3 linked regions of the Cricetulus griseus genome follow. The protein of the gene in region 2 interacts with the protein of the main gene of each other region in a biochemical or structural test. Links are inferred from orthologs where the notes say so. Each region holds a gene or a part of one and is shown on either strand. Other genes may lie near its edges. The genes, in order: Dcun1d4, Cul3 and Kctd17.

Region 1 (3,644 bases), on a different chromosome or scaffold from region 2:
GAAGAAGGGAGATGGGGGGGGTAGGAGAGAGGTAGAGGGGTGAGGGGAGAGGTAAAAGAAAGTACATGGCTTGGAAGGTCTTCCCAGGGAGGAAGATGTGCAGTGTACCAGGTCTGGGAGGAAGGAGGGATGACTCAGCACCCCGTACTCACACGCTCCATCTTCATCATAGTTGCTGAGGTCCAGACTAATTGTCCTGCTGAACTCTAGCACATTGCACCACTGGTCTTTGTTTATCACTTTATATTTTGATTGCTGATGGGAGAAAGTAATGTGGTTAATGACACAAAATTAACAAGTGGGATGGTTTCAGTTTCTATATGAACCAACTTAGGAAAGGTCATGTAGGGCTAACTCAACTGAAGCACTGGTCGGGGAAATGGTGAGACAGAACAAGGGTTGAATTTAAAATGAGAGTTTTTCATTACAACATCACTATAAGGACACATAGTGGTGGTACGTCCTTCACAGCAACGCTGCAAAGATAAATGAGAGGCCTACATAGATTATACAAAGTACTTCGTCTAATACTTGGCAGAAAGCAAGTGCTAAGCAAGGAGTAAGTCTCAGCGACAAGCCAATGCAACAGTCCTGCTCACTGCCAAGCTGCTGGCTTCAAGTGCATGCATCAGGTGGCTACTTGGTGCCAGTGGCTCAGAGCTGGGAGCTAGCTCCTCCATGACTCTCATCACAGAAGAAACTGGGACAGTCATGAAGTGATTACTCTATCACTCTTAAACAAGAAATCTGCTACAGGTAGATAAACACAGTATCCTAGAGTTTCAAATGCAAAATCCAGAGCTAACATTAAAAAAAAAATCCTAATAGAAAAAAAAAATAAAATCAAAAATAGTAAAATAATGTAAATCTTTTTAAAAGGGCAAAGAGTCAAGCCAACAGTTTTGAAGATGCAGGCAAAGGACAGGCTGGAGTGAGCATGCTGCTGCCTCCTTCTAAAGGGAAAAACACCAACTTAGCAAGAGAAAAGCACAGACTTTAACTTCTGAAACATGAAAAGTGAAACCAGTCTCAAAACAGCCAGTAGTGTTCCTGGTACTGAGCAATGTCAAACTTACTCGAAGCCAAAGGGCTCCTCACCTGAAGGTTCAAATCCTACTAGACTCACTGCGTACAAGAACCCATTTCTTGCCAGGCACAGTTGGTGGTGCACACCTTTAATCCCAGCACTCGAGAGGCAGGGGCAGGCAGATCTCTATGAGTTCGAGGCCAGCCTGGTCTCCAGAGAGAGTGCCAGGATAGGCTCCAAAGCTACACAGAGAAACCCTGTCTTGAAAAACAAACAAACAAAAAGCCCATTTCTTTCCTACTCCTGTTCCAATAGTGAGGGCTTCTCTCAGTGATGGACAGGGAAGCTGGGACAGACTCCAGGGAGAGCGCACCATTGCATCAACATGTACTTGTATTGTATTGATGAGCAGCTTTTACTAGCTTTCTTATGGAGTGCCAGTTAGTAGTTACAAGTGGCTTCTAGTAACAATCTTCAAAGGTTACACTGATTGCTAAGTATTATGGGCCACTACATAAAGCAAGTTGTAAAGAAAGATTATTTCAAGTGGGTGTTGGAATTGGGCAAGACACAGGATTTTCTCAAAGATTCTATACTCAACCTTGAAACCAAAGGCCATGTTTAAAAGGGCTCAAGTAGGAGGGGGCCCAAGGCAGATGCCACATGTGACAGACAGCCCAAGCAACTCAAATACTTCTCTGCTTCCTCCAGGTTCTGCCAAAGGACATTTGGAGAAAACCCACAACTAATTATTGGCAGCCCAAAATTGTGGCCTGCTGTGAAAGCAAACAGCAACGATGTAAGGAAATGTTGGTTGTTTCTGCCACCTGGTTAAGCACGTTTAAATTGAAGGAGACACTGTGGGCACACCTAATCCAGGGCTCACAGCTATCCAAGCACTCCGGTAGGTACTTGGAGATGAAAGCCGTTAAGAACAAATCACAAACTCTTTTCAGTGAAAGGCAGGTGGCTGATATTTAATGTTGGCGTAAAACTGGAAATTCATCTGAAAGAAAGTAAAGCTTGACTTCTATTGGGAGTCTAATACCAGTGGAGTCTCTCCTACAAGGGGCCGAGAGGAGAGAAGGGGCACTTGGCTGTTCGTACACAAACTACTACTAACACACACACACACACACACACACACACACACACACACACACACACACACACTCTCCCCAAGATATGCAGCTGCTGATTGACAGCAATCAGGGAACCATAATTTCTATGAGCAGAAAGCTACAACAAAGAAAAAAGTAATCACACAAAACAGATGAAATATATGGTAGTTCTAAGCAAGCAAACATACATTTCATAAAGTAATAATTTGGTACCTCTAAGAATTGGTGAAAAACTGGAAAAAGGGGCCAGATTTTTCCTAATAACAGTCCCAACATGCACTTGGCAGTGTTTATGTCTAGGCTGCGCTGGTCCTTTTCCTGTTTAATAAATAAAAACAAGGGTAAGCCAGATGCTTCTAAATCACAAACTCTAACAATCCAAACATGTATTTCAGTTCAACGAGAAATTGGTAAATAGCTCATTTATTACACATCATAAAACTCTGAAGGAACTAAGGAAATGGTAGCCAAACACAATGCAAAGCCTGACATTTGAGTGTCACATACAAATTTATTCTGAGAAAGAGTGATGTGAATAACTTTACCCTAGTGGCAAATCCATTATGTAGTGGTAGCTACAATCATTTCCTAGGCAAATAAGAACCATAACCTGCTTGCTTACATCATGATAATTACCAAAATTATAACTGCTGATCCGAAAGCCCTCAGGCGAACTCAGTGGAGTCCAAGTGGTTTGCTTTTCAGTGCTTAGGACTGGGTTTCCTCAGAGACTCATTTTTCCAACAGCTTTATTTTGTGTGGTAAATATTTTTCTTCTACCTAGACATACTGGAACTAAATTCAACTAGAAAGGGTTGGTGCCCTGGAGCATCTCTCCCCATCAAAAGACAAGCTCATCCACCTGTCTAGGGAAACAGGGACTCTTATCTCCACACAGCTTACCTAGCATGTGGCATGCATGACTTCTAGCACAGTGGTTAGTGACTACTAGGAAACAGAACGTACACACACACACAAAGGAAGCTTATTCCACTTTTATTTGTAATTAAAGGTTCTACTTGTCATTGTATTTTTCCTGCACATTGCGAGTCCATTCCTATAAGGTGAGGGGATGTGTTCTTGGACACAGGAGACAATCTCACACATCTACAGCACTCCTTCATGTGGTCCATCAACTAGAGCGGAAATCTGTAAGAGGATTTTTCTATAAAAAGGGGAGGTGCTTAGTTATCCCACTACAGTAGAATGTCACTATTCACCTCACCACATTAAGGAACCACGTTGCAAACACCCTTGGCCATGTGCACCTTTTGACAGAAGCGCTGTTCAGTATATGGTGAATTTCCTATCCAGGCCACCTATCTTCAAAGGACTTAAAGTGACACAGCCATGTGAGGCTCACTCAACAAGCTAACAAGGGGAAAGAAGGCAGAGCAACTTGCTGTTTAGGAAAGACATTCAAAGGGGCTTCTGGTCATAGCCGGTACGTACAGCAGCTATTCATGAACAAGCCAGGTAGGTCAAGAGGCCTGAGC
Region 2 (4,139 bases):
CAGCATTCGGGAGGCAGAGGCAGGCGGATCTGTGAGTTCGGGACCAGCCTGGTCTCCAGAGCGAGTGCCAGGATAGGCTCCAAAGCTACACAGAGCAACCCTGTCTCGAACCCCGGCCTCCCCCCGACCCCCCAAAAAAAGGGGAATAAAAAAAGATGTGGTACATTAGGCACTCGTTTTATTTCGATACAAACAAAAACCGGTTTTCACATTAGTAGGTTCTGGATCCTCCAGAAAATACCAAATTTACCGACAAACCCAGGAGCTAGCGCAGTGCAAGCAAGGAAGCCTGGTCGCCTCAGTTGTGAGGCGTTGCAACACCTAGCTCGATATAGGACATCAGCTTCTCATTGGGCACAAACTCTGCTTCCAAGTTTCTGGCTGGGGCTCAAGTACCCATCCCTAGGCCACGTGCCCTAGAAAAACACAGCCACAGTTCGAGGACGTTGAGCCGCCCCACGGGCACCCACGCCCTTGCCTGGGACTACCTGCAAGGGGGCTCCGCCGGGCGGGCGGGCGGGGGCCACGGCGCTGAAAAATCCCAGCTTGGCTCCCGGAACTTCCCCCGCCCACTGCCCACGTGACACATCATCTTCGCCCTCCACCAATCAGCGGCCGCCCCCGCCTACCGGGGGTCTCGGACGCTCCTCTTTTGAAAAGGCAGCCCACGCCTCCTGGCCCCGGGCCCCGCCCCTTTCCCGCCCCCAGGACGCTGCCCGCTGTCATTCCTAGCTCCGCACCCTCCTCCGCGTCCCCGCCCCTTCCTCGCGCTCCCTCCCTCCCGCCCTCCCGGCTCCGACCCGCGCCCGCGCCGCCGGCCCCTCCCGCGCCGCGGCGCGGCGCGCGCCGCCCCGAATCTCGCCGAGAATCTGGAACGTTGCCGCAGGCCGCGCGCTTCCCGCTTCCCCTCCCGTCCTCCCGCCCCCTCCCCCCATCTCTCCACTCTCGGCTCTCCTCCCTCCCTCCTCCCCCCTCCACCCTCTGGGCCGGATCTCGTCTCGCTGAGGCGGAGGAGGAGAAGGAGGAGGAGGAGGACGTTCGGCCTGCGCAGTGAGATGTTTGTCCGTCGCCGCCGCCGCCGCCATCGCGGAGGAGCGCGATAAAGGGAGCCGAGCCCGGCGCGAGGGGAAGCCCGCGAGCCGCCGCGCCAGCGCAGCGCCGAGCCCGAGGCCGCCGGCCCGAGCCGCCGCCCGCCGCCGGCGCGGCCCCGCGCAGGGGCCGGCCCGCTGCCAGCCGCAGCCCGGGGGCCGCGCCGCCGCCCCCGCCGAGCCCGCGGCCGCCCTCCCGCCTTCAATGTGACACCGGCGCCTCGGAGTGCGAGCCGCCGCCGCAGCCGCCGCACCCGCACCCGCCGCCGCCACCGGGGAGGGGCCGAGCACCATGTCGAATCTGAGCAAAGGCACGGGCAGCCGGAAGGACACCAAGATGCGGATCCGGGCCTTTCCGGTGAGTCGGTCCTCGGCGCCCGGGACCCGGAGCCGCGGCCGGGAGCCGCACGCGAGGCCGGGGCTGAACTCCGCCAACAGGCCGCAGCCCGCCTCCCCTCACCCCACGGCCGCCGGTGGCGGGGCGCGAGCCTTCCAGGGCAAGCGGGCGGCGCGGGCCGGCGCGGTCGCCACCGGGCGCGAGCCGGGCCGTTCCTGACGCCCCGGTCGCCCCGGGGCCTCCTTCGCGCCGGCCTCGCTTGCCTCGGCCCGAAGGGGACGCGCGCTGCCGCCGCCGCAGCCCTCGCGTGGGGCGTGTGTGTGTGTGTGTGTTTGTGTGTGTGTGTGTGTGTGTGTGTGTGTAACTTTCAGCTGCTGGTTTCCAGAAGGAGCCGGCTGGGCTTGGACGGTGGTGGGGAGGACCGTCCGCCTCTGCCCCCTCCTCAGTCAGGAGCCGTCTTGCCGCCCGCCTGCCCCACTCACTGACAGAAATGCCCGGTGGCTAAAGAGCAGCAGCAGCACCGAGCCTAGTATTTATAGCATCTTTGATCCCGCAAGCCTCCTGAGCGCTTCACCAGACGCTCCGCTCCGAGGAGGGCCGGCCAGGCACAGAAGGAGCTGCACTCTCCTGCTTTTCCATCTCTTAGCCAGGGAAGTCCCCAAGAATAGTCGCCACGCAGGCTAGTTTTACCTTGTACGTTTCTTTTAGCGACAGCAAACGTTTTTCTCTTGAGAAACTTTTTTTTTTTTCTCTCTTGGCGTTGCGTTGAGTCATATAGGCTTGCGGTGTTTAGTAGATGGAGCCTAACTTCGGATGTCATGCCTCCATCAGACAGCCAGTGGCAGGCAATTAAAAGGTCCTGTTGTAACAGAGAAACTGGACATACTTGCTCATGTCGCTACAGTAACAGGTAAAAGTCAAACGGGCAAACCCGCAGTCGGGCAAGTCCTCTTAAAAGTAAAACCAAGGAAAGTTGTTGTTTTTCTCTTCTGAGGCTCATAAGCATTCTGTCGTGTGGGTACCCTTTGCAGTGAGGAAAGGAAAGACAGACAGACCACAGTGTTGCCCGAGTTGAGTAACTTTGTCCTGGAGAACTTGAGGGCCACTGAATTCTTAATGTCAAAAAGAAAAGTATACAACTGATGCAGAATTGTGAATTTGCAAGGAACATATTGAAACTTTTATGTAAATAAATGGGGCCTATGTAAACAGGGTGGGTACAATCAGGAGGAAGAAGTATTTTGATATTAATTACATTATGAACGATTTATTTTTACATCAGAAAGTGAGAAATGCTGGAAAGACAACACTGATAAAGTTCACTACTATGTTTTCCTTTGTAATTGGGCAGTGGCCTGGGTTTATGAATTTGAGTAATAAAATTTTCCTCCTGAATCCACCATCCAGGTGATTGTCAAGTCTGATCCCTCCCCCCCCTTCTATTTTTTGGGGTGTGTGTGTCTTTTAATGAAATCGTGACACTGGTTTTCTAGGAAATGTTTGCTCTTGGTGCTGTTCTTTCTTGAAGTCTTTGTTTGGTGAGATGTGGAAGACCTCCTCTCTGACAAGTTGTATTCTGTCTATCTGTGCTTGCACCTCTTTGACCTCCTCCTCTCCCTGCTAGCACCTGTTTTCCTCTCCCATCCCTTCATTGCTCCAAGATACACTGAGTGCTGTATGCAGGTACTGTTCCTGGAGCTTTAGGATTTATCAGTAGATGTGTAAAGGCAAAGATCTTTGTTTTCTGGAGCTAGTATTAGGGATTAAAAGCAGGAGAGAATTTTATTCCATTAGCTGAAGATGATAATAGTGTTTGATAGGTTAGCTAATACATAGTACGGGAACAGAGATTTGTTTTGTGTTTTCGTTTTTTTCCTAGTTCATAAGTATAAATAACAGTCAAGGTAGTTCCCATTGAAAATAATCAGCCATTGTTGGGGGTAGATAAGGCTCCAGTGATATTTCATTGACTTCTGGGAATCAGGTCCTTAGACTGTCAGACTTTCATCCAGATTAGTGGTCTTGTCTAAAACTACAGCCCACATCAACTGCTACTCAGAAGTTATAAATAGTATTTCACACACACAAAAATACCACTTATGCTTATGTGTGTATATTCCTACAACTGGTGTATGTTACACTATGTGGATATATAGTTAGCTGTAACTTATGGCAAACCGTAGGTTAATGAAAAATTTCAGTTGCTCATTTCAGGGTCGTCCCCCCCCCAAAAAAAATTGATATGTAAAAGGAATGAGTGAGTTTGGATTTGTTTCATTTTCACTGTACAGTAGTGGTGAGTTACCTTACAGAATATTTCATATATACGAGAGTATTGCAGATAAAATTTTACCAAACAGGTTCTCTTTGTATTTTTAGTGTATATTTTAAGTTTGTTTTCACATTATTCAGCAGAGTGAAAGTTACACTACACTAGCTTAATGCACAGCTTGAATTTTTTCTGCCCCCACCCCCAGTTTACATTTTTAAGTAAACTTACAAAATTTAAGATTAAGAATTTCTGTACTTGAACTGTTAACAGAAAAAATTGTTGATTTAATTTTTAGACTTACTTTTATTATATAGACTATAGTTTATTTTACATCTTTTTGTTGGTAAATTTTTTAAAGTTTTTTTTTTGTTGTTTTGTTTTGTTTTTTGTGAGGTGTGTGTGGGTCTGTGCATTTTGAGTGTAGGTGCCAGCAGAAGGCAGA
Region 3 (3,644 bases), about 57 Mb from region 2:
ATACCACAGTCCTACTTTCCCCCAGGCCTTTTGGGTAGCCTCCCTGAGTGGTTTTAGGAGCCCTGTGGGCTCTGGCCTAGGCAGCATTCTTCCAAGAGCTCAGTTGGCAGCCAGCCTGTGGGGAAGAATTGAGTCAGGCCCAGTACCCTTGGGCCTGCAGTAGGGCCCACACAATAGGCATGATCCTGGCTGGGAAGGTGGAAGCTGTGCCCATGTGCAGGAGTTTTAGGAACTCTGGCTTCCCGTGTGTTACCACCCAGCCCTGCTGTAATCCCCTTGCCATCCTCCCCCCATGCCAGTGGCTGGCTCCTCCCTGCAAGAGTGCAGGGTACCCTGCTGCTCTGCCTCCCTTTTGTCACCAACCTGGCCCAGGCTGCCAGACACTGTTGCTGGCATCTAGATCTGGCTGGTGACTACCCTGGGACAACCTTGGCTTCCTGCTCTGGCTCCACCCTCCCAAAGTAAGGCCTTTCCAGGAGCCCAGTGGCTCCTCTTCCAGTCCTCCCCATAGCCGGACTCTGTAACAGCAGCCTGGATGGTCTCTAAGCATCTTTTCTGGGCTAGGGAAGACGCACCAGCTGCTTTGGCTACTGCCCTCCCTTTCTCAGAGGTTCCTTTCATCCTGCCTGCCCCTCTGTCCTGAGGTCGGGGGTCCCTGCGGACAGCCGCCCGCAGCCCCGCCCCCTCGTCAGTGTCTCCACTCTCTCTTCCCTGGTCGGCGGCGGGTTCGCAGAGCACGGACGAGCAGCTGGAGGAGCAGCGGCGGCAGGAGGTGGAGGAGGTGGAGGTGGCCCAGGTGCAGGTGGAGGCGGATGCCCAGGAGAAAGGTGCAGCCCGCCCCCAGGAGGACGATTGCTAATGACAGCCCGGGCCTCCCGCCCTCTCCCTGCTGGAGCAGCTGCCGCCGGGAACTGCGGGGGCGGGCCACCAGGGTTAGCTCAGCGCCTGGCGCCTCGCCCATAACCATCCCTCTCTCACTTTCTCTTGCAGCCCTGTCATCTCAGGATCCCGCTAACCTTTTCTCCCTCCCACCACCGCCTCCTCCTCCTCCGCTTCCTGCTGGAGGTCCTGCTTCATCTTCATCCACCTCCTCTTCCTCCTGGATCTCATCTGCACCCTGCCTCTTCCCTCTCTGCCCCTGCCCAGGTTTCCTCTCTGCCTGCTCCCGTCTCCACCCTGGGGCTGCCCTAGTCCCAGTGTCCCGTGCCCTCTCCCCGGGCCCCCTGGCCCTGCATCCCCAAGCATCCTGCCTGCCGCCTCCTGCGCCCCTTTCGGCCCCTTCTGCCTCCTGGCCTGGGGAGGAGGGGCGTGGCCGCATCTGCTCTATATCCTCCAACCCAGCAGGGCACCTCTGAGGCTGACCTTGGCCACAGGCCCCACTCTTCCCGCTTGCCTCCTCACGTTTCCTCCTTGCAGGTCCCTGTCCGCACCCTCCCAGACCCAAGCCTGAGCTTGCTGTGAGAGCTCCTCGGCCCCGCGCCCGCCCCCAGAGCTGCCGCCCCTGGTTTGTAGCCTGGCAGAGCTGGAGGGAGGGGCGGAAGCAAGGAGGGTGCTCATATCTTGTCCTTGGACTTGAGCCGAGCTTTTGGCTGATTCTCTCCACTCACCAAAGTCTCTCAGCTTATCTGGGCCTTGGGGTGAGGCCCTGAGAACTGAAAAAGTCCAGAGCTGGAGTGTCTTGTACCTGCCTGCCTGTAGTCAGTAGGCCCTGGAGCCAGGCCGGGGAGGAGAGGACTGGCCTCTGCCCCATCACGCATGTCTAGAAGCTCGTGCCACACTGCATGTGGGTACTGTGTCCCCTAGTTCTGTGGAGTGGGTGCCAGGCCACATGTGGTGTCCCTTGGCTAATGAGTTGGCAAGAGCCTGCCAAGGATTGGAGCGTGGCAGGAAAAGACCTATTCTCTGACAGGGGTGACAATAGGCCCCAGTCAGACGGATCTCCCTATGTGACCTTGGGCAAGTCACTGCCTCTCTCTGGGCCACAGTTGGATTCTAAGATGGTGTGGACAGCTGCTTTCGGTGTCCCCTTTCTGCCTGGGAAAGCAGTGATCTGTCCCTCCTAACGCCCCCCACCACCAGGCTGCCACAACCAGCCCAAGACTGGCAGTTTCTCCCCTCCTCAGTCCTGACTCCGCCTTCTTTGGGCCTCAGCCCCCCCCCCCCTCCAGAGCCAGCCTGGACTCACTTGCCTTTCTCTCTCCCTCTCTCCCTCCCTCTCCCACTCTCCCCAACTTTCCTGTCCTGGCATCACCCTATCCTCACCCCCACCCTGGTTTTCTGACCCCCTCTCCTCTTCCTTCTGTCCCTCCCCTCTCTTATTTTCTAGCTATTACAAGCCAGAGGCACCCGGATGTGAGCCCCCAGATCACCTCCAGGGACTTGGGGTTCCGATCTGAAATCCTTTATTTTTGTACCACGGGGTGGGCCCCCGGCCCGAGGAGGAAGACTTGCCCTCTCCCTTATCACTGCTGCCTGCATCTGCTGGGCTGGGACTCAACCCTGCCTCCAGGCCCAGGCCTGGGGCCCTCTGGGACCTTGGAAGGCCTGAGGTGGGCCCTGGTGTGTCCAGGCAGAGTCATCTGCCCATGGCCAAAGTGTGGCACTGCCCACCCATATCTCCCAGGCCCGTTTGTCCCCTCGCCTGGGCCCCCTTGCTGCATGGCGGATCCACTCCCTCCCAGCCCAGTCATAGCACCTCCTTGAGCCTCTGTCTCCATGGCACCCCTCCTCCCACCTACCTCACAGGGGTGTTGTGAGGATCAGGGAGGAATGGGGTTCCTGGAGCCCTAAGTGTCTAGGGCTGCAATCGTTACTTTTGGGGGGAGGGAACTCTAGCCGAGCCCCCAAGTGGGACACTATGGCTTCAGATACTGGTGGGGGACAATGCGAGGACTAAGCCAAGCAGGAAGCCAGGTACAGGATTGGCATCACCTTGGCTGCCCTTCCCCTTTGCCACCACGTGTTTGGCAGCAGAGTGTGCTAGCGAGTCTTGAGGCTGCCCAGGAACTTGTGATGGGGAAGGGGACGGGTGTGAAAGGGGCTGAGCTGCCCCTCCCATGTCTTGACCCCTGGGATGGGCACACATGTGCCAGCTGTGTCCCACTCACCATGAAATAAACCTGAAACCAACAGGCTGGCCTGGCTGCCTCCCTCTTTCTCTGGGCTCCTTTGGGGAACAGGGCTTAAACTCAGGTGAGGTAGACCTGCTTTTTCTGAAGCCCCCTGTCATTGTCACTTTCCTGGGTGTATGACTAAGTCCTGTACTCAGGAGTCAAAGTTGAGGCTACTTGGCTCTGTCAACTGCTCTGCTGTAGCCTAAGCCATGGGCTACCCCTCTCCTTCCTGCTGGGCCACCTCACCCTCTTGCCCGACTCATCCTACTCCCCATCTTTGTGAAGCTACGCCACTGGCGTCTGGGTGTCCCTACACCTGGCAGGGGCCAGGGCACCCTCCTGCCAGCTCACAGCTTGGAGAACACCACCACAACCCTGAGACATGCACTTCCTAAAGGTGAGCTCCCTTTTCCAGTCAGCTTTTCAGGAGCCAGATGGAGGCTTGATAAAAGATGTGGTCCTCCTTCCCCACCTGGTTTAAGATTAATGGGATAGGTGGAACCCCCTATTTTAGCAGAAGCCCCTAGGACT

What was found.
Region 1: the proteins of Cul3 (region 2) and Dcun1d4 form a complex in vitro, tested with the Homo sapiens proteins (2 studies listed by BioGRID, with this or other methods). The link is inferred for Cricetulus griseus from reciprocal best matches to the Homo sapiens genes CUL3 and DCUN1D4.
Region 3: the proteins of Cul3 (region 2) and Kctd17 form a complex in vitro, tested with the Homo sapiens proteins (3 studies listed by BioGRID). The link is inferred for Cricetulus griseus from reciprocal best matches to the Homo sapiens genes CUL3 and KCTD17.

What each region holds. Positions count from the first base shown.
Region 1 is NW_023276807.1:140,060,856-140,064,499, reverse strand, and holds part of Dcun1d4 (DCN1-like protein 4), read right to left. Parts: intron 2,467-3,644; coding exon 2,362-2,466; intron 256-2,361; coding exon 153-255; intron 1-152. UniProt on the Homo sapiens protein: Contributes to the neddylation of all cullins by transferring NEDD8 from N-terminally acetylated NEDD8-conjugating E2s enzyme to different cullin C-terminal domain-RBX complexes which are necessary for the activation of cullin-RING E3 ubiquitin ligases (CRLs).
Region 2 is NC_048595.1:432,991,521-432,995,659, reverse strand, and holds the start of Cul3 (cullin-3), read left to right. Parts: upstream 1-1,252; 5' UTR 1,253-1,380; coding exon 1,381-1,446; intron 1,447-4,139. UniProt on the Homo sapiens protein: Core component of multiple cullin-RING-based BCR (BTB-CUL3-RBX1) E3 ubiquitin-protein ligase complexes which mediate the ubiquitination and subsequent proteasomal degradation of target proteins.
Region 3 is NC_048595.1:375,539,447-375,543,090, forward strand, and holds the end of Kctd17 (BTB/POZ domain-containing protein KCTD17), read left to right. Parts: intron 1-733; coding exon 734-827; intron 828-990; coding exon of another isoform or gene 991-1,355; exon of another isoform or gene 1,356-1,416; coding exon of another isoform or gene 1,417-1,504; exon of another isoform or gene 1,505-1,673; intron 1,674-2,326; coding exon 2,327-2,703; 3' UTR 2,704-3,134; downstream 3,135-3,644. UniProt on the Homo sapiens protein: Substrate-adapter for CUL3-RING ubiquitin ligase complexes which mediates the ubiquitination and subsequent proteasomal degradation of TCHP, a protein involved in ciliogenesis down-regulation.